4 linked regions of the Saccharomyces cerevisiae S288C genome follow. The gene in region 4 interacts genetically with the main gene of each other region. Each region holds a gene or a part of one and is shown on either strand. Other genes may lie near its edges.

What was found.
Region 1: mutations in TOF1 (region 4) and SRS2 are lethal when combined (synthetic lethality), as found in Saccharomyces cerevisiae (7 studies listed by BioGRID, with this or other methods).
Region 2: mutations in TOF1 (region 4) and CTF8 together harm fitness more than expected from each alone (negative genetic interaction), as found in Saccharomyces cerevisiae (9 studies listed by BioGRID, with this or other methods).
Region 3: mutations in TOF1 (region 4) and HST3 together harm fitness more than expected from each alone (negative genetic interaction), as found in Saccharomyces cerevisiae (7 studies listed by BioGRID, with this or other methods).

Annotation. Positions count from the first base shown.
Region 1 is NC_001142.9:253,816-263,248, forward strand, and holds SRS2 (DNA helicase SRS2), read left to right. Parts: upstream 1-3,607; coding exon 3,608-7,132; downstream 7,133-9,433. Other genes in the region: KHA1 (Kha1p), read right to left, coding at 1-627; TOK1 (Tok1p), read right to left, coding at 922-2,997; GWT1 (glucosaminyl-phosphotidylinositol O-acyltransferase), read right to left, coding at 7,265-8,737; protein kinase activating protein DPB11, read right to left, coding at 8,942-9,433. UniProt on the Saccharomyces cerevisiae protein: ATP-dependent DNA helicase involved in DNA repair at least for UV-induced lesions. The polarity of the helicase activity was determined to be 3' to 5'.
Region 2 is NC_001140.6:484,867-488,327, reverse strand, and holds CTF8 (Ctf8p), read left to right. Parts: upstream 1-1,696; coding exon 1,697-2,098; downstream 2,099-3,461. Other genes in the region: EGD2 (Egd2p), read left to right, coding at 92-616; LNP1 (Lnp1p), read right to left, coding at 666-1,502; ERG9 (bifunctional farnesyl-diphosphate farnesyltransferase/squalene synthase), read right to left, coding at 2,149-3,461. UniProt on the Saccharomyces cerevisiae protein: Essential for the fidelity of chromosome transmission. Required for the DNA replication block checkpoint.
Region 3 is NC_001147.6:373,043-380,062, forward strand, and holds HST3 (NAD-dependent histone deacetylase HST3), read left to right. Parts: upstream 1-5,176; coding exon 5,177-6,520; downstream 6,521-7,020. Other genes in the region: protein-arginine N-methyltransferase SFM1, read right to left, coding at 1-397; DDL1 (putative carboxylic ester hydrolase), read right to left, coding at 668-2,815; AHC1 (Ahc1p), read right to left, coding at 2,970-4,670; BUB3 (Bub3p), read left to right, coding at 6,739-7,020. UniProt on the Saccharomyces cerevisiae protein: NAD-dependent histone deacetylase, which contributes together with HST4 to histone H3 'Lys-56' deacetylation, regulation of telomeric silencing, proper cell cycle progression, DNA damage control, DNA recombination, and genomic maintenance.
Region 4 is NC_001146.8:119,563-129,002, forward strand, and holds TOF1 (Tof1p), read left to right. Parts: upstream 1-3,320; coding exon 3,321-7,037; downstream 7,038-9,440. Other genes in the region: BOR1 (Bor1p), read left to right, coding at 1-1,436; GOR1 (glyoxylate reductase), read right to left, coding at 1,556-2,608; guanine nucleotide exchange factor SEC2, read right to left, coding at 7,243-9,440. UniProt on the Saccharomyces cerevisiae protein: Forms a fork protection complex (FPC) with CSM3 and which is required for chromosome segregation during meiosis and DNA damage repair. FPC coordinates leading and lagging strand synthesis and moves with the replication fork.

The sequences.
Region 1 (9,433 bases), on a different chromosome or scaffold from region 4:
TAATGCTAACAAAATCCATCCCATTATATCGTTAATGATACCCGCCGCAAGGACAACGATACCTGCTCTATCCTTGATCAAGCGCAATTCATTTAAAATACGACATAAAACTGGAAAAGCCGTAACGGAGATGGAAACAGCTATAAATACCATGAAGACAGAGAATTTAATATGCCTTTCGCCTTCTGTTTTGTTTGCATAAGTGTGAAATAAAGGAATCGCCAGCAGACAACCAAAACCGAATGGCACTGCTAAAGTGACTATACCTATCACGAGTGCTTTCTTTAGGTGTTTCTTGATGAAAGCAATATCCACTTCTAAACCTAAAAAAAACATAAACAGTATTATTCCCAAATTCGCCACTAAATTTAGCCCCGGGATCGATGATGTAGGGAAAATTGTGTTTGTATAGTTTGGAATTTGACCAAATATAGTAGGCCCCAAAATAACACCAGATATAACTTCTGAAATGACTTTAGGCTGCCTCATCATTGAAAAGGGAATGTGAATTAAATTGCATACCAGTAGTATGAGACATGCTTGAAAGAGAAATAATGTAAGCGGCGAACTGGAGTTGTAGTGGAACGGATTTACACCCGACAGAATTCCTCCTACAGTGTTTGCCATTTGATAGAATATAAATAATACAACTTCGTAATAATAATAATCGTTGGTATCATTTGATGTGTGCTTTAGCAACAAGAGATGATATAATAAGCGAACAGTTTTTGTTTTTTATTTTCCCTTACTGGAGCTCAGCCACATTAATGCGAGACGCAACGGGTGCATAATATTGAAAGCGCATTTACAGCAGAAAAATGCTTTCAGTATTTATTTTGAGATGCTGAATATAAATATTTAGAGAATACATCCGTAGTAGTCTACAGTAAGATATAAATCAATGCTTCGGGTGTTTGTATATCAAAGTGTCTTTCTATGCTCACCCAAAAATTTTCTTTTGCTTATAACTTTATAAAGCTCTTCGTCTTCTACTAGATTACCAACTAATTCTTCTATGTTCTTGAAAAGCATCATAAAAGCAAAATGAGGTTCATTTAACGGGAACTTGAGGGGCGTATCAGGTGATATCCAAAATTCGGGTCCGCGTGTGTACTCCTCAATATCTGTAATGTTCCTCAAATGTAGTTTATGAATGTACGACCAGTCGGAAAAACTAAGTGTGTAATCTTTATCCGCCAGACATATCCGATGTAGTTTTTTGACGGCTTTAAGTAGCTCTTGCAAGTTCCTTAAATTACAGGTCCCCGAGTCCTGTAGTGCATATTCAGCAGAAGAAACATATTCTAGAGGAAGTATTCCCTCTGGGCTAGATGCTTTTGATAATGAAGAAAATGATTCTTGCAGGCTTGCAGGAGGGGATGTCACTCCAGAATCATTCTCTTCTGAATTATTATCGTTGAATTCAGAAATTTGACTGGATTGTGAGCTCGTTGTATTTTCTTCCAGATCACCATCAGCTGTGTCAGATTCTTCGAAAATTTCTCCAGTGTTCACCATAAAGGAAAGTGCTCTTTGACGCCCATTAAAAACGATGGACTTGACTTTATTATTGAATGATTCACCGATCTTAATATCCAGAGAAGTGGAAATGTCAAACAACAGATCACCGACTGTAGATAGGATAGCCCCCATTAATGGCACGGCTCCCAACGCCCAAATCACAAAAAAAGCACGGCCTGCACCAGTCCTTGGAGCATAGTCTCCGTATCCAATGGTTAATAAGCACAAGAAACAAAAGTAAATACAATTGAAGTACGACCAATTTTCTGCGAATTTGAATACAAGAGCTCCCAATAACCAAAAAGCCATGAAAATTGCAATAGTCACCGACAAAGAAAACCAATGCTGCTTCCTTGAGGCCGTTTGTCGGATACACTTCATTAAGTCGAACGCTTCCCTTTCAGATAAATTTTTACTACTATCCATATAATGTTTCCACGATTTGGACCTGCCTTTTTCAACTCTGTGGAAAAAGAAAATTGGGCCAGAGGACTTTTGAATGATGGATCTTGTCATAAACACTATTAAACCCATCAAGACAACACCAGATAGCGAAAAGATTAAAACCATGATTTTGGCGCCAACCGACTTGGGCAGGATGTCACCTAGTCCCACGGTTAATAATGATACCGTGCAGAAATATAATGCATTTCCGTAAGTGATGTGCAATAAACCGCTAAACATACCCGCACCCCAAATCAACCATAAAGACAATAGTACAGTGTATGCCATGATACTTCTTTCATTGGGCAAAAGGTTGAACGTTGGAGGATATTTTCCTAATTTATATCCAATAAAATGTATTGTTAAAATAATGGTGCATACCAAATATAGACCAGAACTGATACAGGCAAACCAAAATCCGATAGTCTTACTGTAGATGCTGGGCATGTCATTCAAGGAGCATACAATCACGTCCACCAAAAGCATCCCTCCAGCTATTGTCCATCCTGTTATATTTATTAACTGAGATTTAAGATACGTCAACTTCTTACTGAAATGTAGCATTAGTATAATATTTGACGTAAAACCCAGTACCAAAGAGATGATATTAACGGCAAAAATACCAGGAGGATCAAAAACTGTCTTTACTTGATTCATCAAAACATCGGTGTCATTGCTTCGTGGATTTGTCACCACGGAGTTGTTCTTTAAGGATCTCCATTTTTCAACTACACAGGCTATCGAGATAGTGTTAGCTACGGGACCCAAGCAGGCAGTAATCACAGGGAAATAGCATGAAACCACAAACCAAAAGACGAACAGTGTTGAAGAAGGCTCTGCATTAATAATACTAACTCTTTCGTCCCGGAACCGCAATGCATCCTTTAGTTCCTCTGCAAGAACACCCTTAGCTTGCTTCGGTGTGTTGTTTGAATGAGAATCAACAGCCTGAGCTGAGCTCTCTTGCTCCACTGTCGCCATATTGCCATATCCCAGCGTTTGTTTGGCAAAGCTGTTCATGAACCTTGTCATATATATAGAAATCGGTAAAATAAATACAAGAAATATGCTTTGTTATACTGCTAGAAAGGAGTGAAGACATCTGCTCACGATCTACGAGATGCGGCTATTTTTGATGGAAAAAGATACATAGGGTCAGGCATTTTTGCCATATTGAATAACCAAGATGGTACTGAGTACTCAGGTAATGTATATTACATTGAGTACTTCACTTGTATACACAACCACTGCTTCGTATTGTATATCAAGTATCTAACTGTTGATAAACTACAACTTTCTCTTCAACCATAATGATAGCGCCGCTTAAAACATGCTAGGGTAACGAGACGCGAATGCGAAAAACTCCCAAAAAAACCAAAACAAACAAAAGTGACAACAATTAGAACGATGCTGAAGAAGAATAGGAGCGAGTTTAGAGTTACCTCCAGCTATCCTGATACTACTGCTTAGGCTACCTTCGCAGAGTCTCGATAAATTTGCAGTCGGCAAGATAAGAATATTTCTCTACAGCTTTTAGACAGCTTCCTGTCCCTCTAGTTTCTTTTGCCATCCATAATTGTACTCTGCACTTTGAGTATCATTCCAATTTGATCTTTCTTCTACCGGTACTTAGGGATAGCAAATGTCGTCGAACAATGATCTTTGGTTGCATTTAGTATCCCAGTTAAATACTCAACAGAGAGCAGCGGCCCTCTTTGATTACACTAGAGGGCTGCAGGTCATTGCCGGTCCCGGCACAGGGAAGACTAAGGTTTTAACTTCAAGAGTAGCGTATCTTATTCTGCACCACCATATTCATCCCCGCGATATTATAGTGACTACTTTCACTAACAAAGCTGCTAACGAAATGAAAGAGCGTTTGCAAGAAATGTTACGCGGGGCAGGCGTGAATATTTCGGAGCTCTTAATTGGTACTTTTCATAGTATTTGCCTGAAAATACTTTATAGATTTGGCCACTTGGTGGATCTACAGAAAGACTGGAGAATTATTGATGAGAAGGAAATAGATGTCATTTTAGATGATATGATCGAAAAAGTTCCCGACCAAATAAGGGATTATGCTTCCTCAATCACAAGGAAAGTAAATCTTTGTATGCCGAGTAAAAATGGAGATGAATGGACTATTCATCCGAAGCTGATCAAGAAACAGATATCAAAGCTAAAATCAAACGCAATATTACCTGAGGAATACATCTTAGATTCGAATCATGACGCCGCGCTTGGTTACTTTTACCAAATATACCAATCAGAGCTAAGCAAGAAAAATACGTTAGATTTTGATGACTTATTAATGTACACCTTTCGTTTGCTGACTAGAGTGCGTGTTTTATCCAACATAAAGCATGTTTTAGTTGACGAATTTCAAGATACTAACGGCATTCAATTGGACTTGATGTTTCTTTTTGCTAAGGGAAATCATCATCTTTCGAGGGGGATGACCATCGTAGGTGATCCTGATCAAAGCATATATGCTTTCAGAAACGCCTTAGCGCACAACTTTCTAGAAATGGGCAGAAAATGTCCCATCGAGTACTCAACTATCATACTTGTTGAAAATTATCGTTCATCACAAAAAATTCTAAATACAAGCGAAATTTTAATAACGCAACAAAACAAAGGTCGGCAGAATAGGGCTCCACTCCGTGCCCAATTTGACCTGGATTTTCCACCAGTTTACATGAATTTCCCCGCTTACTTTTTGGAAGCACCTTCTTTAGTTCGGGAACTACTATATTTGAAGGCATTGCCAAACCTATTCACATTTAATGACTTTGCTATCCTAGTAAGACAACGAAGACAAATTAAAAGGATCGAAAGTGCATTAATAGAACATCGGATACCCTATAAAATTATTAGGGGCCACAGTTTCTGGGATTCCAAGGAAACAAGAGCGATGTTAAATTTATTAAAATTGATATTTTCTCCGAATGACAAACATGCAATTCTTGCTTCACTTTTATATCCAGCAAGGGGCCTTGGTCCTGCTACCGGTGAGAAGATTAAGAACGCATTGGACACGTTAGCTACCGATGTGTCATGTTTCCAAATATTGAAAGACATAAGTAGTAAAAAAATAATGCTAGACATACCGACGAAAGGCCGTTCTGTGATTGCTGACTTCATTTCAATGATAGAAAATTGTCAATTGTTGCTCCAGAGCACTTTACTAGGGGGTCTTTCAGATTTATTTGATAAGCTATATGAATTATCAGGTCTGAAATACGAATACTTGTACAAGGATGGTAAGAAAAAAAATGATCAGCTTGAAAAATCCGAACCTAATTTATTAAACGCAAGACATAAGAATATTGAACTTTTGAAAAACTATTTCCTGGCTCTTCTTTCCAAGTCAGAATCTTCAGATAAAGAAAAAAATGAAGCCATTAAAGCAGCAACAGATGAAGCCGAACCAATAGAGAACAAGGTCATCACTCCAAAAGAATACCTCCGTAATTTCTTCAATTCACTTTCCCTTCATTCTGATGCAGCTGAGGAGGAAGAGTCGGAATCCAATAAAGATGCAAAAATAAAACGTGAGAAGAATGGGTTTGTCACGATATCTACAATTCACGGTGCCAAAGGTCTTGAGTGGCCGGTAGTTTTTATTCCTGGATGCGAAGAAGGTATAATTCCTTGTGTGTTCAACGATGATAAGAAAGACGAATCAGAGGAGGACGAAGAAGAAGATCAAGAAAATAGTAAGAAAGATGCAAGCCCAAAAAAGACTAGAGTTTTATCCGTGGAAGATTCTATAGATGAGGAAAGAAGAATGTTTTTTGTTGCACAGACTCGTGCAAAATACCTGTTGTACCTATCAAATACTGTAACTGTGGAAGATGTCGATAGACCAAGAATTGCAAGCCGATTTTTGACTACTGACTTGATAAAAGCCATGTCCGATAGCCAAAAATTATTTGAAAGTACGAATAGTATCAAAAAACTATACCGAATTTTGAACAAAAAGCCGCCTGCTGAAGATGATAAACTATTCTCCCTTGACCAATTGCGCAAAGACTATAACCAATTCATTGAAAATAGGAGAGAAAGGATGATTTGGCAAGGGATACAAATGAATGATGTCTATGGAATACAGTTGTCTAGAAATAAATTATTGGGTTCTGTTAGTGATTTCACGTCAGCTGCGGACCAGTTACGACTCGAAACGCAAAACTCTATATTCCCACAGAAGAAACTTATTGAAAAATCACGCCCATCCAAAATCAATGGCAATTACGCTCCTAAAAGTAGAGTTAAAAGTCCAGAAAAAAGGTACGCTCCAGAAACTACATCATTCCATTCTCCTACAAAGAAAAAGGTGTATGCACCTCAATACGTTTCAACAACTAATGTACCTAGTAGGCAGGAGTTTCATTCTTCTACTGGGAAAAATATTCCTTTTCTGAGAAGAGAAGATAGGTCCATCACAGACATATCACCACGATCATCAACGAGGTCGTTAAAAGGAGCATCTCCAAATAAGACGAGCCACATGTCAGATGATTTAATGAGACCATCACCTACGAGGAAGGACAAAGTTACTCGTAATATTCATTTCGCAACTGCAGGAACTTTCAGAATAGAAACCCAGTCAAATGTTGATGAACTGCATCCTCCGGAATACTCCAATAAATCAGGGCAGTCGCTTACGTCGAGTGAATTTTCTGGGTTTTCTAGCGCGTGCAGTAATTCTGATCAGCCAACGAACTTAATAGAAGATATAAACAACGAATTAGATCTATCCGATGAGGAGTTATTAAATGACATATCAATAGAAAGGAGGAGAGAGCTTTTGGGCTCGAAAAAGACGAAAAAAATAAAACCAAAAACTCGAAATAGAAAGTCTAAGAGAGGTGACAAGGTTAAGGTGGAGGAAGTGATAGATTTGAAGAGTGAATTTGAGGAAGATGACAGCAGAAATACAACAGCTGCTGAGTTATTACATAATCCGGATGACACTACAGTTGACAATCGTCCAATAATCTCCAATGCTAAGTTTTTGGCTGACGCAGCAATGAAAAAGACACAGAAATTTTCCAAAAAGGTGAAGAATGAACCTGCATCAAGTCAAATGGATATATTTTCTCAGCTGTCACGTGCGAAAAAAAAGTCAAAATTAAACAACGGTGAAATCATAGTCATCGATTAGTAGCACTTTCATGCCTGACTACGTCAACTATTGGAGGCGGTTTATAATTTTTATTTAAAGCACATAGGAGTTAATTTTATTTTACTGGTAGGGTTTGTATACGAACTACATGGAAATGTGGATGGTGTGTTATTATAGCTTAATGAATATTCTTTTTCTATACAAGAAAACCGATATGACAGCTATGAATGAGCAGTATGCCAACAAAACCAGGAATGATTTTAAGGGTGAAGAATCTATCGTGACCATAGACATATTGACTAAACCAGTAGAGACATTTGCCAACAAAAATAAAAACAACCCATTGGAGTTGATTGATTCCAAGCATTCGGCAACTTTATAATATTCCGAAGAATTACCGAAAATTTTGTCAGTCAAGCAGTACCCAGTCAAAAATAGTAAATTATAAGTAATGACCCACAAAGTATATGGTAAGTTAGCAAACCTTCTTGAAACACTATAAGGATGGTATTGAAAAACCAACTGGCTGATAACAAGAAAAATTGTACTCCATATACAGAGGCCACTTAATGGGGTTACTGAAGTCCAATAGTCCCAAGTCGAAGACTTCTTTGATGCTGCAACTACGTCTTGCGTAGAAGGCTTATAAAGATTGTTTAAAGTTGGTTTATTTCCCAACAAGTAAAATCCCGTGTTTTGGCCCCAAAGAAAAATCGAGCAATAACCTAGAAATGAGAAGATGCCTTCTCTATTAGCACTGAAGAAACAATTTCTATCAGCCAAAATTAAAAAGTTTAAAGTGCGATCGTCCTTTAAAAGTAGCCATTCATAAATGCATGAAATGAATATTGCAATTGAGCAGCGTGGAACCATTCTTGTGACGGGATCAATAAAGGTCAATACAAGTGGCAACAATGATAGGGTGATAAAAAAATTCCAATGAACCCCATATTCTGTGACATGTTCTTGATATTCCAAATTTTTTACAAAAAACAACCTCAGCAATCCTAGGAACAATAGAGTTCCTCCTGATTTTAAGGCATTAAATGCATTTTTTAAGAAGCTGGGTTTACTCTTCAAGCTTAGGTTTTTCAACAGTGCCCTAGAAGAAACAATACCGTTACTGAAAACGAATGATCCTACACCAAGATCCATCAGGGATGTCCCCCAAGTTTCCACCTTGGCAAACCTCCTTGGGAAAATTGGAAAATCTACAGCCAAGATGGCAATAGCAGTCAGAATAAGCATCCCACCACGATACGCAGTAATATACGGCTTTTTTTCTAGTTGGAACCGCTGTGTAATCATTTTTTTTTTATTGTATATTGGATTAGAAGGTTTACTCGAGCTAGTAAATTTTCCATATATGAATGCGAGCAAACAAGGTAACAGTATTAGCGTGTTTAGAAGGTATGGTTCACTAGCATAAATAGTAATAGATAGAAGCAAAGCAACCCAGTTCAATGCAAAATCAATTATGTATTGCACGCTGGAAATGCCAGGAGGCATAAGGTTGGAATTTTTCAATAAGTTCCATGATATGTAAGTTACCAAAGCAATTGATGTCACTGCGTTAATTTCTGTTATAGAACCGCCATTGAGCCCTGTCACAAAGTCCTCTTTTCTCTGTTTTAAAGTCGACATATTCTTCTGATGTACTGTTGCCATTTATTTAGATATTTACGTGTCTTCTTATTGCGATCCTCTTTTTCTCATGCTGTTTTTTCACGCGAGCATGTCATGGAAAGTATTATCATACAAAACGGTAATACATATAGATGAGTAGATTTGAATAATGCTGTAGATGGCGTATGTAAATGAATATCTTATAAAATTACGGACTACATTTCAAGAATCTAATTCCTTTGTCTGATTTCTTGTCTGTCGTCTCATAGGTTTTTCTAAAGAGGCAGTACGTTTCTTATCTTGAATGGAGCCATAGGTAACTTGAGTATGTGAAACTTCCTCAGTTCTTGGGATCTCTTCTGGATTAGAAATTGCAGTCGGCTGCTCTGTAGGCACATTTTCTGACATTATTGTGCCCCAACTCGTGGTTCGTTTAATTTGTTTAGGAACGAAATTTTTTGGCAGTGACTCCAACTTGATCCTTTTCGTATCCGGCATTTGTCTCTCTGAAGAAACATCCATGATACTCGATGAGACACTACGCTTTTTTCTTCCAGAATCAGTTTCTCTAATTTTCTGCAATAATTCGTTTTTGGTATCTTTCATAGAGTGCTCCGATAATGAGGAATTGTTTCTTTTCAAAAGAATAGTTTTGTCGATTTTTGGATCATTGTTTTGGTACTTTTTTTCTGAACTAATGCTGGTATAGTATGG
Region 2 (3,461 bases), on a different chromosome or scaffold from region 4:
GAAAAGGATTATTTTAAACAAGAACTAAGGTAAAGTCTCCTTCTGGGAGCAACCCTTACAAGCAACCACACACCCACATACTCAATTGATAATGTCTGCTATCCCAGAAAACGCCAACGTTACCGTCTTAAACAAGAACGAAAAGAAAGCCAGAGAATTGATTGGCAAATTGGGTTTGAAGCAAATCCCAGGTATCATCAGAGTCACTTTCAGGAAGAAGGACAACCAAATCTATGCTATTGAAAAGCCAGAAGTCTTCAGATCTGCCGGTGGTAACTACGTTGTCTTCGGTGAAGCTAAGGTTGACAACTTTACCCAAAAGCTAGCCGCTGCTCAACAACAAGCTCAAGCTAGCGGTATTATGCCATCTAACGAAGACGTCGCTACCAAGTCCCCAGAAGACATCCAAGCTGACATGCAAGCCGCCGCAGAAGGCAGTGTCAACGCCGCAGCAGAAGAAGATGACGAAGAAGGTGAAGTTGATGCCGGTGACTTGAATAAGGATGATATCGAGTTAGTCGTTCAACAAACTAACGTTTCCAAAAACCAAGCCATCAAAGCCCTGAAAGCTCACAATGGTGACTTAGTCAACGCTATCATGTCCTTGTCTAAATAATGATATAAAAATATATTATATAGGGGTACGTAGTTATTCTAACGCAAAATCATTTTGTTTTTTCCTTCTCCGACTGCGAAGGCTGTGCCGGTTGTTTTGCTTCAATGGCGTCTTCTCTTTCCTTTACTTCGTCTATTTTGTGGTTACAGTGAGGACAGATAAAGATGATTGGCTTACTGGCCAATCTGTAGCAATTGGATTTCCAATGACACTGTGGACATATGATTTTTTTGAAGGGAGAGAGCGAACTTGTTGAGTCCAATTCATTACCGCCTGCCAGTACGCTGATGATTTTGTCGAACCATGCATCGCTGTCTTCCTTCTTTAGGCCCTTTACATGGCTTTCCTTCTTAAATTTTTCTAGCTCTGTCTTTAGATTGTTTAATTCTTGGTATTTAGCATTTAATTCATCATCTAGAAGTACCATGGCATCGTCGTTTTGATCTTCACCGGAAGAAAACCGTTGGATGATTGAGCTTGTAGCATTATAGTGGGTCTCTTCCTTTAACTTTTCCAGTTTCTTTTGATGAATTGCACGGAGTTTTGCCAACTTGCGTAACCTATTGTTGTTATAAAATGCATAGAGTTTGGTTAATGCCCATTTGAACAAGATTAGCGAGCCTATGCATAGTAGCGCAGTCACCACAAGGTATGGTCGATAACCATGGTACTCCCAATATGTGTAGCTCAGGGCCAATACCGTTAACGCAATACCATAAAAGGTCAGATTTGATTGCCATTGACTCAAGATGGATTGGCTTTTCTTTAACGCGACATCTAATTGATGGATCTGTGAAGTTATTTGTGATAAATCTGCGGTATACTTCGTCACAAAGTCCTTATCATTGCGAGAGCCTCGGACCCATTTACCTAATGCACTAAACATATTTATGTTATTCTTTTATATCCGATCTCCTCTTTGTATGATTTTTGTTTTCTTAAAATATACATGTCAACGTTAGCATCTTGAATTTCATTTTTCCTTTAATCTTTTTTAGTAAGCTAACCACTAATATAGCCAAAGGAGTGATAGAAAAAAGAATTATCACTATCATTCAGCCCAATAAACAGCTGAAAAGAATGCCTAGTGTAGATATAGATGCTAGTCAATGGCAGAAGTTGACACAGTCAAGAGAAAAGCAGACCACGGTGATAACACCGCTTGGGATGATGATGCTGGAGATTCAAGGTGAACTAGAGTTGCCTAAGGACTTTGCGTCGCTGGCGAGGAGAGATTCTCCAAATGAGGGAAGGTTCAGTGAACAGGACGGCGAAACTTTAATACGATTTGGGTCGTTACAGATTGACGGAGAGAGGGCCACATTGTTTGTCGGCAAGAAACAGCGTTTACTGGGGAAGGTGACAAAGCTAGACGTACCGATGGGTATAATGCATTTCAATTCGAAAGATAATAAGGTCGAATTAGTTGATGTAATGAAATATAAGGTTATCTTTAAGGATAGGCCTCTACCTATTATGTAAGTACTTAGTTATTGTTCGGAGTTGTTTGTTTATGTTATTTGGCGCAGACTTCACGCTCTGTGTAAAGTGTATATATAATAAAACCCAAGAAGAACGGACAAGATGATAGATAAAACCATATTGAACTTGTACTCTTCTTCTTGTTGGGTTGGAACCAATTCATCATCGTATCTGGATCTTTCTTTAACTTTCAAGAAAATTGGAGTTTCATTTGGCTTCACGTTAGGAGGTAATTTATCCTGGTACATTTCTTCCATAAACTGTTCGATCTTGGAGATTTGAATGTTCAATTTTAAGAAATTTGGATCTTGCACAGCCAATTTAGATTTGATATCACGTAAGTAATAGTCAAAAATCTCGACACAGCCACGCAAAGTCCTTGATTTCAAAATTAAATAGCAGGTAGTACCCTTACGAATCTTTACATTGCCATGTAGCACTTCACGGTTGTTGAATACCAAAGCCAAGGTTGCAATGGCCATAACTTGGGGAATGGCACAAAATTGGAAAGTGGATTGCTCGTGGATACCGGCCAAATAAGTCAACACATCGATAACATGACTCAATGCGTTTAAGACGAGGTGGTTTATACAGTCCAACCCCAGTTGTTCGTTTTCAGGTTTCATGAAGTCCTTCAACTGAGGAGCGTATTGTGACCAGATTTCCTTGGGCCAGAAGGATCTACCATCGACCAAATCTTCATTGTAATCTCTGATGATGTTGGTTTTTTGTAGGAAAAGACCCATGCTTTCATACAATTGCTCATTAGAATACAAAGATTCGTTGGCAAACTTGGCAATGACAATCAAACGGGTCAAACCATCACCGACCAAACCAGCTACGTAGTGACAGTACACGTCGTAGTCGTGGACGGTTTGCAACCCATTCAAGTTGTAATTTTCATCTAAGATGTAGTCGGCCATACCATTACCCATTTTCTCGGTGATCTCCTTGATGACTTCTTGATATTCTGGTTTCAATTTGTGGAATTCAATAAGAATCGATTCGAAATCTGTCAAAACGGCTCTGTCCTTCACATCGGGGGCATTTCCGTCGAAACTCCATTTAGTTAACAACAATTTCTCGTGGAAGTGACGCAACAAGTCAATTTTCAAATCGTGTTCGATGGACATATCGTCTTCGATGGTATCCAAAGCCCTTAAAATCAAATAAAAGAGAGTAACACAGTTTCTCAATTCTGGATGCAGCTCTCTGATCACAGCAGCAAACGATCTGGAGGTCAAGTTCAACAGTTCGAAACAGTGCAAGAGATATGGAGACGTGGACTGATCATAGATGGAGAATAGCGGTGTTCTGCAAAACTTCAGCTTCAAAGCTGCCTTCATCTCGACCGGATGCAATG
Region 3 (7,020 bases), on a different chromosome or scaffold from region 4:
GTCTTCTGCTAATTAAAAGATTCGGATAGGCAGTCTTTAGTTCTTTGGTACGATCTCTTGGAGGATGATCACCCAATATGCCACCAAATACGAAATAGTCGAATTTCGTAGCATCCTCCGGCTGTAAATCGATTGTAGCCCTAGGGTCCAATAGACAGACTCTGCCATCTTTTAACAGTTCCAAATCCTTGAAATCTTCGTTAATGCCCTTCAAATCCTTTGTAGTCCATCTTAAACCAAGTTTTAGTAGCCTTTGAGGGATGTCCTTTTCCGTGGTACTCTCTGGTAACGATGATAAAATCAAGTTTTCAGCTCCTACTTCTCTCAGGATTTGGCTATACTCTAAAATGACCCATTCACTAAACCCTTCCTCCATATGCTCAATAATGTACTTCATCGTATATCTAGAAATAATCTCCACAGCTGTATCAATCTATATTAACAATAGATATGCCCCTCAACATCTAATAAGCAAAGGGCATTGCTCTTTTACAATACTCGATGAGCTTACCGAAAATTTCTAATCCAAAATAACGGAAAAAATTGAAAAGGTGTCAATCCTGTTACCCGCAAGTTGAAGTACGGAAAGAATACAACCTTACACAGTGGAACTATAATAGACAGTAAAGAAAAAAGTTAAAAAAAACTTGTGCCTTGCGTTTACTGATCAACCAGTCTTTCTTTTTACATATATTTCTGATGCATTTTCATGTTTACTTAAAATTTCTTTTAGGATAAACGCTGCAATATCCGGTTCTTCGAAATAAGAAACATGTGATTTTATAGCTGATATAAAATCCACTTCTAGCAGACTTGGAGACATAGCATAATCTAGACGTCCGGTGTAATTCAAACCTGTAAGCATTCTCGTAAGATTTTCTGATAACTTGACCTCTTTTTTTTCTGGAGAAGTTTTTTTGGACTGCAAATTATTTTCATCAGTACCTGGCAAATCTTTCCATATGTTTTCGCCAAATTCCAAAACTTTAGAAGTTAGTCCATAAGCTTCACTACAATGTGGTAAATAAGTTTGTTCGTAATGAGCCATTTCTTTACTAACAAGAGGTTCCATCCTATAAGAAATGGGATCACAGACGTGGTAAACATTATAAATGTCCTTACATTGCGGTCTCTGTACGGTTAATTTTCTCTCCAAGTCATTGGGAAATTCGGGACGGTCACCAATTTTTGTTCTTTGAATTAACTTTAACAATCCAATTGGTGAGCCAATAAAGAACAGGTTGTCTACTTGAAATTCTAATTCATATTTTTTTTGTTTGGATAGAATATCAAATAATATCATACTACCCAACGAATGGCCCACTAAATGGACTTTCCCATCAAACTCTGGATTAAATTCTTTAAAAATCCGATATGTTTTGTTCAATTGAGAGGTTACTTGTTGTAGAATCATATCTTGGTAGTATGGTTCGACATACAACAAAATATCTAGTAGACCGTCAGCCAGTAGCTTCCTCAAGGGTAACACTCCATTTACTGTGACTTGTGACAAAGTCGGTAGGTCAGGATTTTCTATATTTTCCTCCTTAGCATCCGTTTGGAAACTTATCGAGTGCCTCCAGGTGATGGGTAGCACTTGAACGTTACAGTTGCTTTTATAATCAGGTGCTGTGTTTAATGATTGTAGTTTCTCAGAATTATTGTAGATTTTTTTCATATTAGACCTAAGTAGATTTACCGTGTGTGCGAAATTTACGTATTCGTACTTCTTACCCAAAGTCTGACCTATACCGTGAACGCATAGTATCAAGTTATCCACATCTCTTCTGTTACTTCTAATTTGTCTATCGCTTGCGCCCGAATTTTTGCCATCTTCTATTTTGCTACTAGCATTAGCGCCTTGACTGTTATCTGCATTGTTATAGTCTGTTTCCATTTGCTTTTCCAAGCTCTGTGCATCATCTTGATCTTTACTAGCATTACCATTGAACAACTGTAAAAAGTCCGATAAATTGAAGAGGTTTGAAACTTTCTTTTCTAACTTTGTTTCAATGCTCCTCGATTTGGAACTGTTACTACCATCTGCTACTTCCGTTTGAGGCGTTTTTGCTGCCTTAAAAGATGTGGATGTCTGTTTAGTAGTTGCGGAGGATGAATATTTGTATGATCTTGTAATCATTGTAGCATTAATCGGTAAGGATTGAGCCAGATTAGACCTTAGAAAGGCTAATTGCAGTTTTCCTCCATCTAAATCCGATAGTAAAAATGCAGTTTGTTTATTGGCAAACAAAATAAACTTGAAAGTAGATTCGTTCTCATCTTTATTGCTGGATCCATTTTTTTGCTCTCCTTCGTTTTCTTTATCGACTGGGTATTTACCTTTGAGCCTAAATATATCTTGCGATTCTGCAGGAGGTGTCGTGGTCGGATCATCATTACTGTCGTCGAATTTGAGCTGCTTATACAACCCTTCAATTTCGGAGGTAAGATCACTGGACAAAGGTTGATTTGAAGAGTCGAACCACACACCTCTTCGTACTTGATAAGTAGGGCCTTCCCAATAGGTAGGGGACAATTCCATGTGAGAGAGGTCGACTTTAAACAGGTAATCTTCGTTGACTAAAACAGGCCTGCGTTCTTGACGCTTACTGGCCTTTTCCAAACGATTAGAATCATCAACGGAGAACGGCTTAAACTTTTTGGGTGAGTGTAAAGTTTGATATGTGGGTAAATAGGGTTTGGAGTTGGGTACGTCTATGGCATAGAACCATGGTACATAAATGTGATTTAACCTTACGAAAATGTTTCTAAAACGAGTGCTGGAGGGAAGGCCTCGATGAGTAAACCGTAGCATTTCAAGTAATTGTTCACTGTGAGTATATTCAGTGATCTTCAATATTAGGGAATATGCAAAAAAATACAATCCACTTTTTCTTCCAAAGCGACAAATTAGGTCAGAAAACCAACAGAATATTATATTACGTAATTTACTTATTTATATGTGTGTACTATGTATGAGAACCACGCAGTCTTGATTTCGACCTTAGATTGTAATAAGATGATGATTTTGCTGCAGGATCAGGACCCTCAAGTTCATTAGTCAAAAGGGCCGCTTTTCTTGGTTTCTTGTCAGTGGGATTTGCTCTCAACCTTTCTCTTAAAGGTAAATCTTCCATGGGAGTAGAGCTATTCAAGCTCAGTTTTCTCTTACGCAGCAATTTTCTTTGTAAGGAGGAGGATAGCACTGGCGGAGAGGGTGGGTCCGTAGTCGTTGTTGTTGTAGCCGTTGCTGAGAGAGACGGTGATGGGACGTAAGAAGCTTCGTCATCAGATTTGGAAGATTCCTCTTCTTGCTCCTTTTGATATCTTAATTGAATTTCACGTTGCTTCAAATATTCATTCAAATCATCCGGAGTTTCATTAACCATGTCAATCAGTTTTTTGAAGTCTTCTTTATTTTGGTATAGTTTTTCTAAATGAGGAGTGTTCTTGACAGTCTTTGGAGCCCGCGTATGGTTCTCGGAGTGGTTGATTGGTGATTGTGGTTTTGGGATTGCAATGTCAGAGGGTAGGTAGTCTTTGTTTGGGTCCAAATTTAGTTTCTTGAACTTAGATAAAATTTCCGGATCCTGCTTATCATTAGGAAGTAGTTTTTGGTTGTTTAAAACTGCCAATGGTTGGCTTGAATATAGTTTAGAATGTTTTAGTCGAGTATGGTTCACGATACCTTGCGCGGAAGTGAAACCGGAACGGTCACATTTGGAGCACGTAATTATAACCAAAATGCCGTCATATCTTCTAAAAATGGGCTCATTATTTTCAGTCTTACCGATGATACCGCTATTGCTCGTCAAACAAGTGCTACTGTAATTACGTCTGTGGTTAAGATGCATCTGACTTGGTTTAAAAGGGAGTATCTGGAACCCCGGCTGCTCGTCTAAGGGGGAGATTGAGGAGGAACGAGGTGAAGAAATGCCATCCGAATTAGAGTGAGGAAGCGAGACGGGAGTGGGCTTGGTTATGGCTTCTGATAGAGATTTAGAACCTGTTAGCCTGTAATCAATTATATTCGAATTTGCCGGACGGAGGGCAGAAGGTTCTAGCAAAAGCCCGTTACTCTTGCTTCTAGTATGATAATGGTGGTGTGGTATGCGTGTTGTTGACAGATTTCTGTTGCTGCTCGAAGACAAAGGCTGACAGTTGATGTTATAATCCGATAGAACCGGGTATGACAGGTTATAATTTGATGCGTTCGTATTTTCCGTAGCCGTACTGTCGTGAAAGTGGCCGCCGAGCACGCTATGCTGCTGATGTTGTTTTATTTTGAGTTGATACGTCCGTTCGATTTTGTTCAATAGACCAGTATCCTTATGCAGGGTTTCCAAGAGAGCTAGTTTTGCGTTAACCTTTTGAACATTTCTTCGTAAGTGCCTAACATGCTTGTGGTTTAGCATTATATGTAGGTTCAAAACATTCTGTATTTCCCCTTTGGCACATTCGTACTTCAACCGCTGGGTATTTTCGCTATCCTTGTCCGGATTACTGGTGGCGGTGTCCATTTTGAAGGGCTCATCCATGTTGTTTTCCAAATCCTGAGGAGACTTTGGCGTGGTAACCTGATAAACGTTCGTCATCTTAGAGGATGACGATGAGGAAGAATTAGGATTATGATGCTGGTGCTGCAGTTTATCTTGGGCGGGACTCATCATGAGGAGATGGACATATACACAAAGTGTTGGATGAGAAGCGTGAGCCCGAAGAGTAGTGAAATGCCGAAGATCAGGGTGTTTATATGAACGAACACTAGCTTACAAATGTGGAAACGGGATCCTTCAGAGGTAAAATGCGCCTTCAGTGGCCAAAGTTCATCACCTTCCTTAGCACGGGTTCTTGCTGTCTGCTCTTCCTGCTTCTTCCCTGTTCGTTTTTCCCTCTTCCTACGGCTATGCACAGTGGCAAATGCACTGCATGTGTTTCTGTGGCGGGTATCCCTCAATTGCGGGTAACAATAAGTAACTCAACATCACGAACGACGTTTATGTTTGCTGTTACCACAAAGGGTAAAACGTCAATAAAAGCAAGCAATGTTATTCGTGCCAGAGAACTATATCTGGCGTACGTCTTATATATAACACAAGCAAGGGCAAATACGTGGTTAGTGGTGTAAAAACTGAAGGGATTAATTTACATACAACTAGATCCATCTTTCTCAAAAATGACTTCAGTATCGCCCTCGCCACCTGCCAGTCGATCGGGCTCAATGTGCTCCGACTTACCGTCCTCTTTGCAGACTGAGAAACTGGCACATATTATAGGTCTTGATGCCGACGATGAAGTTCTCCGGCGCGTAACCAAGCAGTTGAGCAGATCTAGGAGAATTGCTTGTCTGACTGGGGCAGGCATTTCGTGCAACGCGGGCATTCCTGACTTTCGCTCTTCTGATGGGCTCTACGACCTAGTGAAAAAGGATTGTTCACAGTATTGGTCTATCAAGTCCGGCAGGGAAATGTTTGATATTTCGCTATTTAGAGATGACTTCAAAATATCCATTTTTGCTAAATTTATGGAGAGGCTCTATTCAAATGTTCAATTGGCAAAGCCGACTAAGACGCACAAGTTCATTGCGCATCTAAAAGATAGGAACAAACTGCTGCGCTGTTACACGCAAAACATCGATGGGCTCGAAGAAAGCATAGGACTTACTTTATCAAATAGGAAATTACCGCTTACCTCATTTAGTTCACATTGGAAAAATCTGGATGTCGTTCAGTTGCACGGCGACCTGAAAACTCTTTCGTGTACAAAGTGCTTCCAGACTTTTCCCTGGAGCAGGTACTGGTCTCGTTGTCTAAGAAGAGGTGAGTTACCATTGTGTCCGGATTGCGAAGCACTTATCAACAAGAGATTGAATGAAGGAAAGCGAACTCTTGGTTCTAATGTGGGTATTCTAAGACCTAATATCGTCCTGTATGGTGAAAACCATCCATCCTGTGAAATTATTACGCAAGGCCTAAATCTTGACATAATTAAAGGCAATCCTGATTTTTTGATCATCATGGGTACAAGTTTGAAAGTTGATGGTGTGAAACAACTGGTAAAAAAATTAAGTAAGAAAATTCACGATCGTGGCGGCCTGATCATTCTCGTAAACAAGACACCCATTGGCGAATCCTCTTGGCACGGCATTATAGACTACCAAATCCACTCAGATTGTGATAATTGGGTCACATTTCTTGAATCCCAAATACCAGATTTCTTCAAGACGCAAGATCAAATTAAGAAGTTAAGACAGTTAAAAAGGGAGGCGAGCGACTTGAGAAAGCAAATGAAGGCCCAAAAAGACTCAATCGGAACCCCCCCAACAACCCCTCTACGAACTGCCCAGGGGATTGATATTCAAGGAAACAACGAATTGAATACAAAAATAAAGTCGTTAAACACAGTTAAGAGAAAAATACTGTCACCAGAAAACTCCAGTGAGGAAGACGAAGAGGAAAACTTGGATACAAGAAAACGCGCTAAGATACGACCAACTTTCGGTGACAACCAAGCCTCATAAACTTAACTATTAAAATTGAGTTAACGATAAATAATCGAGGCAGACACCCCTTTGCATAATATATCATCCGTTTAATTTATCTTCCATTTATATACTCATACATATACCAACGGAGATCTGCATGTCCGAGAATACAAAAAATAGTGAACGAAAAAAATATCACATCGCGAAAGAAAAGCTATCTGATATCTGCAACACGAAAACACAACAGTCGCGGCATGCAGATAGTACAAATTGAGCAGGCCCCAAAAGACTACATAAGCGACATCAAAATAATCCCTTCCAAGTCACTGCTTTTGATTACGTCTTGGGATGGCTCTTTAACAGTCTACAAATTCGACATTCAAGCAAAGAATGTTGACCTTTTACAATCGCTACGATATAAACATCCGTTATTGTGCTGCAATTTCATCGACAATACCGATCTGCAAATATACGTGGGAACTGTACAGGGTGAAATTCTAAAAGTTGATTTGATAGGTAGTCCCAGCTTCCAAGCT
Region 4 (9,440 bases):
CTGCAATAGCCTTTGCGCAAGATATGTTTGATAGGACTGATAATTCCTATGGTGTGAACGAAGTACTTCTATCCAGTGCAATGGCTGGAATTGTTTTTGGAGTTCTTGGTGGACAGCCCTTATGTATAGTGGGTGTTACTGGCCCCATCTCTATTTTTAATTATACGGTCTACGAAATTATAAAGCCTTTGAATACCAGCTATTTTGGCTTCATGTTTTGGATTTGTATGTGGTCTATGATTTTTCATTTAGTTTTAGCATTTACGAACGCCGTTTGCCTCTTGCAATACGTGACTACGTTCCCATGTGACATATTTGGATTATTTATTAATGTGGTCTACATTCAAAAAGGAATACAAATTTTAACAAGACAGTTCAGTGCTAAATCAGGGGAGAAATCAGTACAAGACGGATTTGCTAGTGTCGTGGTGGCGCTGGTTATGACTGCGTTTGGTCTTTTCTTTAAATTATTTCATTATTACCCCCTCTTTTCTCATAGGATCAGAACATTCATATCTGATTATTCAACTGCGCTTTCAGTGCTATTCTGGTCATCATTTACACATTTTGGTGGCTACTTGCATGATGTCAAATTTAAAAAATTGCCTATTACGAAAGCTTTTTTTCCTACTTCCAAAGTCAATAGGCCTCAAAATACTTGGCTGGCATATGAACCGATTCCTGTTAAAGACGTCTTTATTGCCCTACCATTTGGTATATTTTTAACAATCTTGTTTTACTTTGATCATAACGTATCGTCGCTAATGGCACAAAGGCATCAGTATAAGCTGAAAAAACCATCCTCTTTTCATTACGATTTCGCACTATTGGGACTTACCACTTGCATCAGCGGGGTTCTAGGAATCCCGGCGCCCAATGGTTTGATTCCTCAAGCACCATTGCACACAGAGACACTGCTAGTTAGGGATTCAAACCAAAAGGTTATCAGTTGCGTAGAGCAAAGATTTACAAATACGTTTCAGGGCCTGATGATTCTAGGGACAATGACAAGACCGTTATTGGTATGCTTAGGAGAAATCCCTCAGGCAGTACTTTCCGGATTGTTTTTCATTATGGGCATCAATGGCCTAATGACAAATAGTATTATACAACGGTTGGTTTTCCTGTTTTCAGACCCTAACAGAAGAGATAATACTTCACCTTTAATGAAAGTATCCAAGAAGTCAATGCTGATATTTCTTTCCTTTAGCCTGACGGGGTTTGCTGGTGAATTTGCTATCACAAATACTATAGCGGCCATCGGCTTTCCCTTAGTATTGCTTTTAAGTGTGTTAGTTTCTTTCTCGTTTGCTTATATTTTCCCGACTGAAGAATTAAAGATTCTCGATACTAATGTGGCACAAAAATTTACCATTAAAAATTTGTTATTGGAAAATATTCGTGATGCAAAGTTCTGTGATAAGCATGAAGACTAAACGCAGTTAGGATGTACAAAAGTCAACCACTTGTAATATATAGAAATTAATTGCATATATAAGAAGTATAATAATATTATCGCATTTCGAAAGGAAGAATAAAACTATGGATCTTGTAGTCAAACTAATGGCTTAGATTCATTGGGCCAGTCTTCATTTTGTAATTCCGGAACAATAGTCAAGACTTTCCCGGTCAATATCACATTCTTTGCATTTTCAACGACCAGTTCTTCCATTTTCTTTCTTGTTTCTACACTATGTGTGCCCATATGAGGCAGTCCTAAGACTTGGGACATCGATAATAACTCTTTGGATATTTTTGGCTCATATTCGAAAACGTCCAAACCAGCACTTCTAATCTTTCCAGAACGCAAAGCATCAGTCATGGCTTGTTCGTCTATCACGGCACCACGCGCTGTGTTAACAATAACTACACCATCTTTCATTTTTTCAATAGTCTCTGCATTGATTAGATGGTGAGTATTGTGGTTCAGTGGGACGTTTACAGATACTATATCAGAACGCTTCAAAAACTCCTCGAATCCTACATATTCACAACCATGCTCTTCTTCGGAAGGAAGCTGGTGTCTGTTATGATATATGAAATTCTCGAACCCAAACGGCTTCAATCTCTCTAAAATACAACGACCAATCCTACCTAGACCCAGTATACCAACTGTTTTCCCTTCAGGGTCGTATCCAAAGGGAGAACCACATGCGGGTCCTGCCTCCGGCCAGTTTCCCTCGATCAACCTTCTGTTACCAATACCGAAGTTTCTTAGGGCACCCAATAGCAAAAATACATGCGTATCAGCGGTAGCATTGCTAACTAAATCAGGAACATTGGCAACCTGGATGTGCCTTTTCTTGAATGGCTCAACATCAATTTGGTCATAACCAGCACCAGTATGACATACAGCCACTACGGAGGAGGGCAAAGCAAGAGCAAGCTCTTCATCAAATCTACCGGTGTTTTTCACACTCCTTGCTGTTCTAGTAATGACTTGTACTTGGGAGAGCTTATTTTGTGGGTCTTTTACCTCCCGCAAAAACTGTTCTCTAGTGGTGGATTCAGGGATGGTAATTACATCCGCAATCTTTTCCAATTCCCCCCAGGCTTGGTCACCAAAGGCATCCTTTCCTAATTTCAAAACAATTGGTTTCTTACTCATATTCTCTTCTCCTCTTCTTGCTCGTTTATGTATTGTTAATACTTCGGTATTGTAGAGCAATAATCATGTAGAAGGATTTCCCTAACGTAACAACAAGGCCAATAGAATTTACTTTTTATATGCTCGAGATTAGTGAAAAATGGGATAAGATTGCCTTGTTATCCCCGCCCCCTGCCAAGACTTTTGCAGATTTTAAGTCCGCTCTCGGTCCTACGTAATAAATGCCTGGAGAAGCTCTAGAGCTAATTGCGTCGTCCTTCAGGAATTCTGAAGACCACAGCAACGCAATCAGATGGCGGAACCACATTATGAAGCCAAGTGAGGTGTATACAGAGTTATACGTACTTTTCATCCATCCCCGCTCGGTTTCACCGTTCATAACGCTGGTTTTCACTGCCACTTCTCATATCAAGTCAGCGAAATAACCAGTAGTTGTCCTGTATATAGGCATCCCTACCGTTTGCTTTAGGAAGCTGTTCTGTGTTACTATCACAACTGGGTAGTGCCCTGTATGAATTGCTTCCCTGTGGAAATGGCCCTTCCATTATGCTACTTTGACGCGTTTACTGCCGCATTACGCGTTTACGATGAAAAATTAAAATGAGTATTAAGGATTTTTCAAATGAGATATGGTTCGTAAGTCGCCTCACATATGATAATACCATCTAGCTTGTGGGGTTTAGTGTATCTTTAATATAGGAGGGCGCACACTATGTCTGCTGATTTGCAACAAGGCACTACAAATGCGGCTGATTTCTCTCTGACGGTACTTAGAGCAAGAATTGCTTTATTGGCAACTGCCATCGGTGGGCCGGATTATACTTCCCAGATAGACCCACCCCCTTATAAGCTTGGCGATGACTGTTTGGCGTGCTTAAAAGATCTGAAAAGATGGTTTAAACTAGTGGATGACCAGCAGAAAAGATGGGATGTGGCAATGGCAGTAGCTGAATATCGCATCTTGACGGATGATCTGTTACCTATTCTGATAGATTGGGAAAACAAATGTTCTCTTGCAGCAAAGCTTGCAAAGAACAACCCAGACCATGAAGAGTTTAGAAACAAAGCTTATTACGATAAAATTGCGCTAAATTGTCTACAACTATTGGTCCTTATGACTTGGCCTTTAATTGTAACTGAACAGTCTTCATCAAATCAAATTACTCTCTATGGTGAGCTAAAGAAGCATCAATTGGTATACAAGAAAACGATTCTGTCTATGGAAAGTGGTAAAGTGTTAAGAGCTGCCATTAGATTGGCTCTGGATGTTATCAAAATCGACCGATTATCAAGAACTCCTAGGGACAATATGGTTCTCAAATTGGTTTTGAATTTTTTCAGAAATGTCATTGCTATAGAACCCGGTGAATTTACTATCAATACTAAGAAAAGCATGCCTAAGAAAGGTATCACATCTATCGATACTTTGCCACCAAACGTCTCTATGGATGACATCTCTTTAAATACGGTTATTTCCTCATTCCATAAAAACAAGGTATTCGGTTTCCTCTTAACGCTGACCAGCTCCTTATCAAAAGAGTTTGACCAGGACTTTATCAATATCCCACTGTTGGAGATTATGTTCTACTTCACTAAAGATGTTAACCAAGAACTGCTATTCCCTCGACAGTTCGAAACCGGGACACATTCAAAGGTGGTAAATAAAAATGAGAGCTCCTCTGCTAATAACATTGTTACAAGTGCAGGTTTTGAACTATCGAAGTTATTACAAAAGGAACACCAAATGAGAAAAAACGTTATCAAGCATACATCTGCAAGACACTCCAGATTTGGTGGTCTTTTATCTATACAAACACCAGATAAAACTAGGTTAACTGTTTCTGGTAGCCAAGCTCTCGTAGATGAAAAAATAGCGCTCCAAAAACTAGATGACAGCAAAAAATGGAATAAAAGAATAATTAAAAAGCATCAATCTGTCGCAGCTGAGGGCTTACCGAATAGTCTCTTGAATTCACAAACCGGTAAAGCTATTTTTTTCACCGAATCAAATGGTAAACATTTCAAAGAATTCATCAACAACTTTATAGATTCCGGCTTTAACATCTTGTTGCATAGTGTGACGAACTACTTCACAACTGAGCAGGATAGGATGGTAACTTTGGAGCAAGTCGAATATTTACTTTTCTTTGCATGGTTTGTTAAATACCAGTTGTTGAGGTCCAAAATCGACAATTCCGCAGATATAAAGCAAGTTTCAGAAGCCTTGAAAGAGGTGACTTTCATTCTAGTGTCTTCTCTTTTAAGAAGCGCATATGACCTGAAAAATTGGACAGTGACACATGCTGGTATGATTGCATTTAATGAACTGTTGAACCTCGTTTCCCGTACAAAGGCCGCTCAAGAAGAGGATTCGACCGATATAGAATTCATTGTAAGTAGGCTTTTCAGTGACGAGAGAATACAATTACTGTCAAATCTGCCGAAGATTGGTTCCAAATACTCCCTCCAATTCATGAAAAGTTGCATTGAACTAACACACTCGGTATTGAAAGTATTAGAGCAATACTCTGACGATAAAACATTAGTTATTGAAGGCAAATCAAGACGGCAAAAAAAGTTTAATATTTCAGAAGGTGATATTACTAAATTGATAGAAGAAGAAAATGTAGATAGAGATGAAGCGCTTGATATTCTAACCTCTTCTTTAAGAAGTATAGAAGTCAATTTTCAAAAGGTGCAAGCCAACTATATGACAGAACCGGTAATAGAAACGTACATTAATTTCCTTGAAAGATTTCGTGAGCTTGAGGACGATTCCATTAAAAAAGTATTTTCCTTTTTCCATAGAGTATTTGTTCAGGCAAAAGAACAGGCATTGTTATTTAGATTTGATTTGATAATATTATTAAGAGAAATGCTTTCACCTGACGGATTAGATAGAATGTCTCGTTCAAGGAAATATGTGAGTCAATTTTCAGACTACTTCCTCGCCAGGTTGAAGAAAAGGTTAAAGAAATCACCTGCTTGGTTTGTTGGATTACTTTTCCCGCCATTACACAATAGTGAAGTAGGATTTTACCAAAGATATGGTGAATATAATGTACTTAATAATGAATCAATGTATGCCGCTCCTGCATCACAGTTCAAACCAATTCCCGATGAAGAAGCCTTACCACCTTCGATTTTGTTGGATATGAAATATGGTGTTTTAGTTTCCACATTACTTGATGATGGAAAAACTGAACTATTGGACCAACTGCTCAAGCATATAACCCACACACTAGATATTTTTAAGTCGTGGCTAACCGTAAATGTTAATGCTGGGAAAGAAACAGTTAATCCACCCAATGAATATTTCACATTGACAGGTGTACTCAACAACGACCCTATTTTTAAAGATAAGGACTACAGGGCTTTATTGTTGCTGATAGGATACTCCATTCCACGTAAAATCAATGAACCTTGTTTTTTACCGGGGACTGTTGAAGTTTCTGACCTGACTGTTTCTTGTGAACTAGTGAAAAAATACTTATCAACACCATTTGAAACTCCAAACGGACTGCCTTCTTCTTCCTATCTTCTACGAGTTCGTTCAGAAAAGGATAGTTTTTCTCACAATGAACAAGATGGATGGGAAGGAGACGATGATTATGATTACAACGATCCCTACATTGTTCCAGATGATCAAATTTTATCGAAAAGCGACGCAGCATACTTCAAGGATTTAGATAACAATGCATCAGATAAACTTAAAGGTACCAAATTCAGTAAAGGGATTGCGAGATCCAAAAAAAAAGATAAGAGGAAGCGTAGGAAAGGAGAAGCCAAGACTAATTTGCCAATGTTTGGCGACCAGGATGATGAACGACCTCAGACCGTTAGAGAACGCCATGGCGTATTCAGTAAAGAGTTTATTAGTGATTCAGAAGATGACGAGGATTTGATGAACCCTATATTTTTTGAAAACGAAACATATATGAGATGGTTACTAGATAAAAACAATGGTCAGTTGACCGAGGATAGATATATCCAGTTTGCCAAATTTGCCGCGGAAAGGATGAATAATGGGGGTGTTGTGACAGGAGATTATACGAGCTTGTTTGGTGGATCCATACCAAGTATTGAAAGCATAAGAGCTACAGAAAGTAGTTCCTTTGCGCCAGATAAAAGCCTCATTTCTTTAGCAAGCCACGTGGCATCTGAAATGTCTATTTTCGATGTAAATAATAACAATAATAATCAACTCTCTGATGACGATGTCAACTCGGAATCAAGAAATAGTTTGGGCTCATCACAGCCATCAAATTCGCAAAATATGTTCCAATCTGAGGTGTATAGCAGAAAAGAATCTACAAAGCGTTCTTTGGAAGCGAGTGCAGCCGATGAAAGCGATGAAGATGAAGAGGCCATCCGCCTTTTTGGCAAAAAGTCTAGAGTTGTTTTGAGCCAAGGTGATAGTGATGATTGAGAATGAATATGTAGTAATTAATCCCTTTAATACGTGTAATTTTAGAACCACTTCTTTACTCTGTTTTTAAGTTCAAAGTATTGACATAATATTAAAACAATACATGCGATTCATTCTTTATCATTACCTATATTTTTCTAAGTTGTTGAACATCTTAAGGAACTCAAATGTCCATTAGGACACATAAAATTAAATATTATATAATTTATTGCTGTTCCTGGGCATCATCGAAATTGTCATCATTGCTTGAAGACGCATGCAATCCGCTACTAGGACTATTTTCCCCTATTTGTTCTTGGGTTTTGTCGCCTATCGTCAAGTTTGTCTTTAAAGTTTTTTCATTATTATCCTTCTTAGAGTTCTCGTCTCCAGAAGATGCCCTCTTCGAGGATATATTTTGTTTTACATTAGACTCAGCGTTTTCAAATTCAGTCTGATCAATTGCGCTTTCTTCTCTAAATTGCTCTTCTAAATCATCCAAATCTTGGAGTAACTTCTTCTTTTGTATCTTGCGTTGAGGAGCCTTTTTCTTTATTATAGAACGACCTTTTTTATCTCCGCAATCGCTGTTTTCTTCATTATTATTTGCCGACTTAATGCTACTTTTGTCATCTTTCGTTACCGTGTCATCACCTTCACCGTTGTCTATACTCTCTGGTGAACTAGAATCTGCGCTACTTGTAGTAGAATCTGCTAGAGAAGATTCATCTTCTGATGAACTATCTGCGGTTGAATTATCTGTGGAAGACCCATCTGAAGAGGATTCATCACTTGAAGATTCACCCGTAATTTCATTTTCCATATCTCCACTTTCAAAGTCAAAAGCGTCGCTCTTTTGACTTTCTTCTGCGCTAGATGAAGAAAAAGGTCTTTTTGCGTCCTGCTTCCAAAGAGCTTTGTCCTGCAAGCGAACCGATATAGCATCGTTTTGATCCTCATCGCTGTCATCCTCAACTAACGGTCCAATTTTTGAAGAAATTGAATCATCCACTGCCCATATGCCAATATGAGTCCAATGAAGTATACAACGCAATTTACACAATTGCAGCCATGCTCTTTGAATATTAGTGGTAGGTTGTCCTGGCTTTGCATTTGTTTCAGAAGAAAAAATCTCCATCTTTGGCTTATTTTTTGTTGAAGAATTGATACCAAGTCCTGCCATAAAACTTAAACGTTTGGTTTTTTTGTCTTGAGAAGAAACCCTGCCGTCTCTTTTGGTATGCTTCGTTACTTCAGAGAATTTTTCCAAATCTTCCTTGGTAATGTTCTGCGTCGTTAGCTTTTCTAAATGCCATGCGCCTACCTTCAATGATCTCAGGAAAGCAAAGATTTCACATGTCTGCCGCAACTTTAGCAAACACCAATGACACAAGGGATACGTATTCGTAACTTGTTCTTTACCGTCGTCAGTCTTGTGCAACGTTTTCAATATATACATCCTTGCGTGTTCGATAATGTCATCTCTAGATTCTCCACAAAAGGAACATGCGGCGTGCACTGCAACTGGAGGTGAATCTAAGGGAAACTTGAACATTTTTGGCATATTCGAAGTGGCTTGCTTTGCAGGGCTACTTGAGTTGTAGCCAATTTGGTAGGTTGCATTAACGCCGCTTAGGGGTTCCACGACCACCAAACCATCTATAATCAAGGAAAGTAGGGTTTTTTTAACCAACCAGCCGATGCCTGAAGCATTATCAATCTTAAGTATAGGCTGGATTTCATCATTTACCAATCTTCGTATTAACTTTGATTCGGTTGAAGTTGCCTTTATGTTTTCACAACGGGGTAGTGCAGCGACAAATTTTAGAAATTCATTGTAAAGGCTTATATCATAACGAATAGATGAAATGCTTGGCGAGTACACAATTCCGCTATAAATATCTTGGGAAGCAAGAGAATATGAAGTTGGAACTTTATTCAAAGAAGTGCTAGAAGAAGTTGCTGAATCACTCAATATTGTGGAATATCTGTTCGAATTATTTGTGACTGTGCTTTCATTATCTAAACTATGCATCACTTTTTTCAGATTCTTGAGCTGTAGGGTCAAAGTATCCAGTAATGTGTCCTTTTCACGCAGTTGTTCAGTGAGTCTCTTATTTAAGATTTCGATAGCATATTTCTCCTTTCTAGCATCAGCAACCATATTATTAGCCTCATCAAAGAGGGAAGCAGTCAGATCCTCAACTTCTTTATTTAGTTTATCCGCTTCCTCTTCAGCTTTAGTTCGAAGCTCATTTTCTTTGGCTATATCTTCACGCAATCTTTTCACTTCGTCATCTCTGTCTGACAATTCTCTTTTTAAAGTGTTGTAATCTTCTTTCAACTGATTATAGTTTTCAATTGCTGCCTTCTGGCTGGCTATTGTTTTTAAGGATTTATTAAGCTGTTCTTCTAAGTGTGACT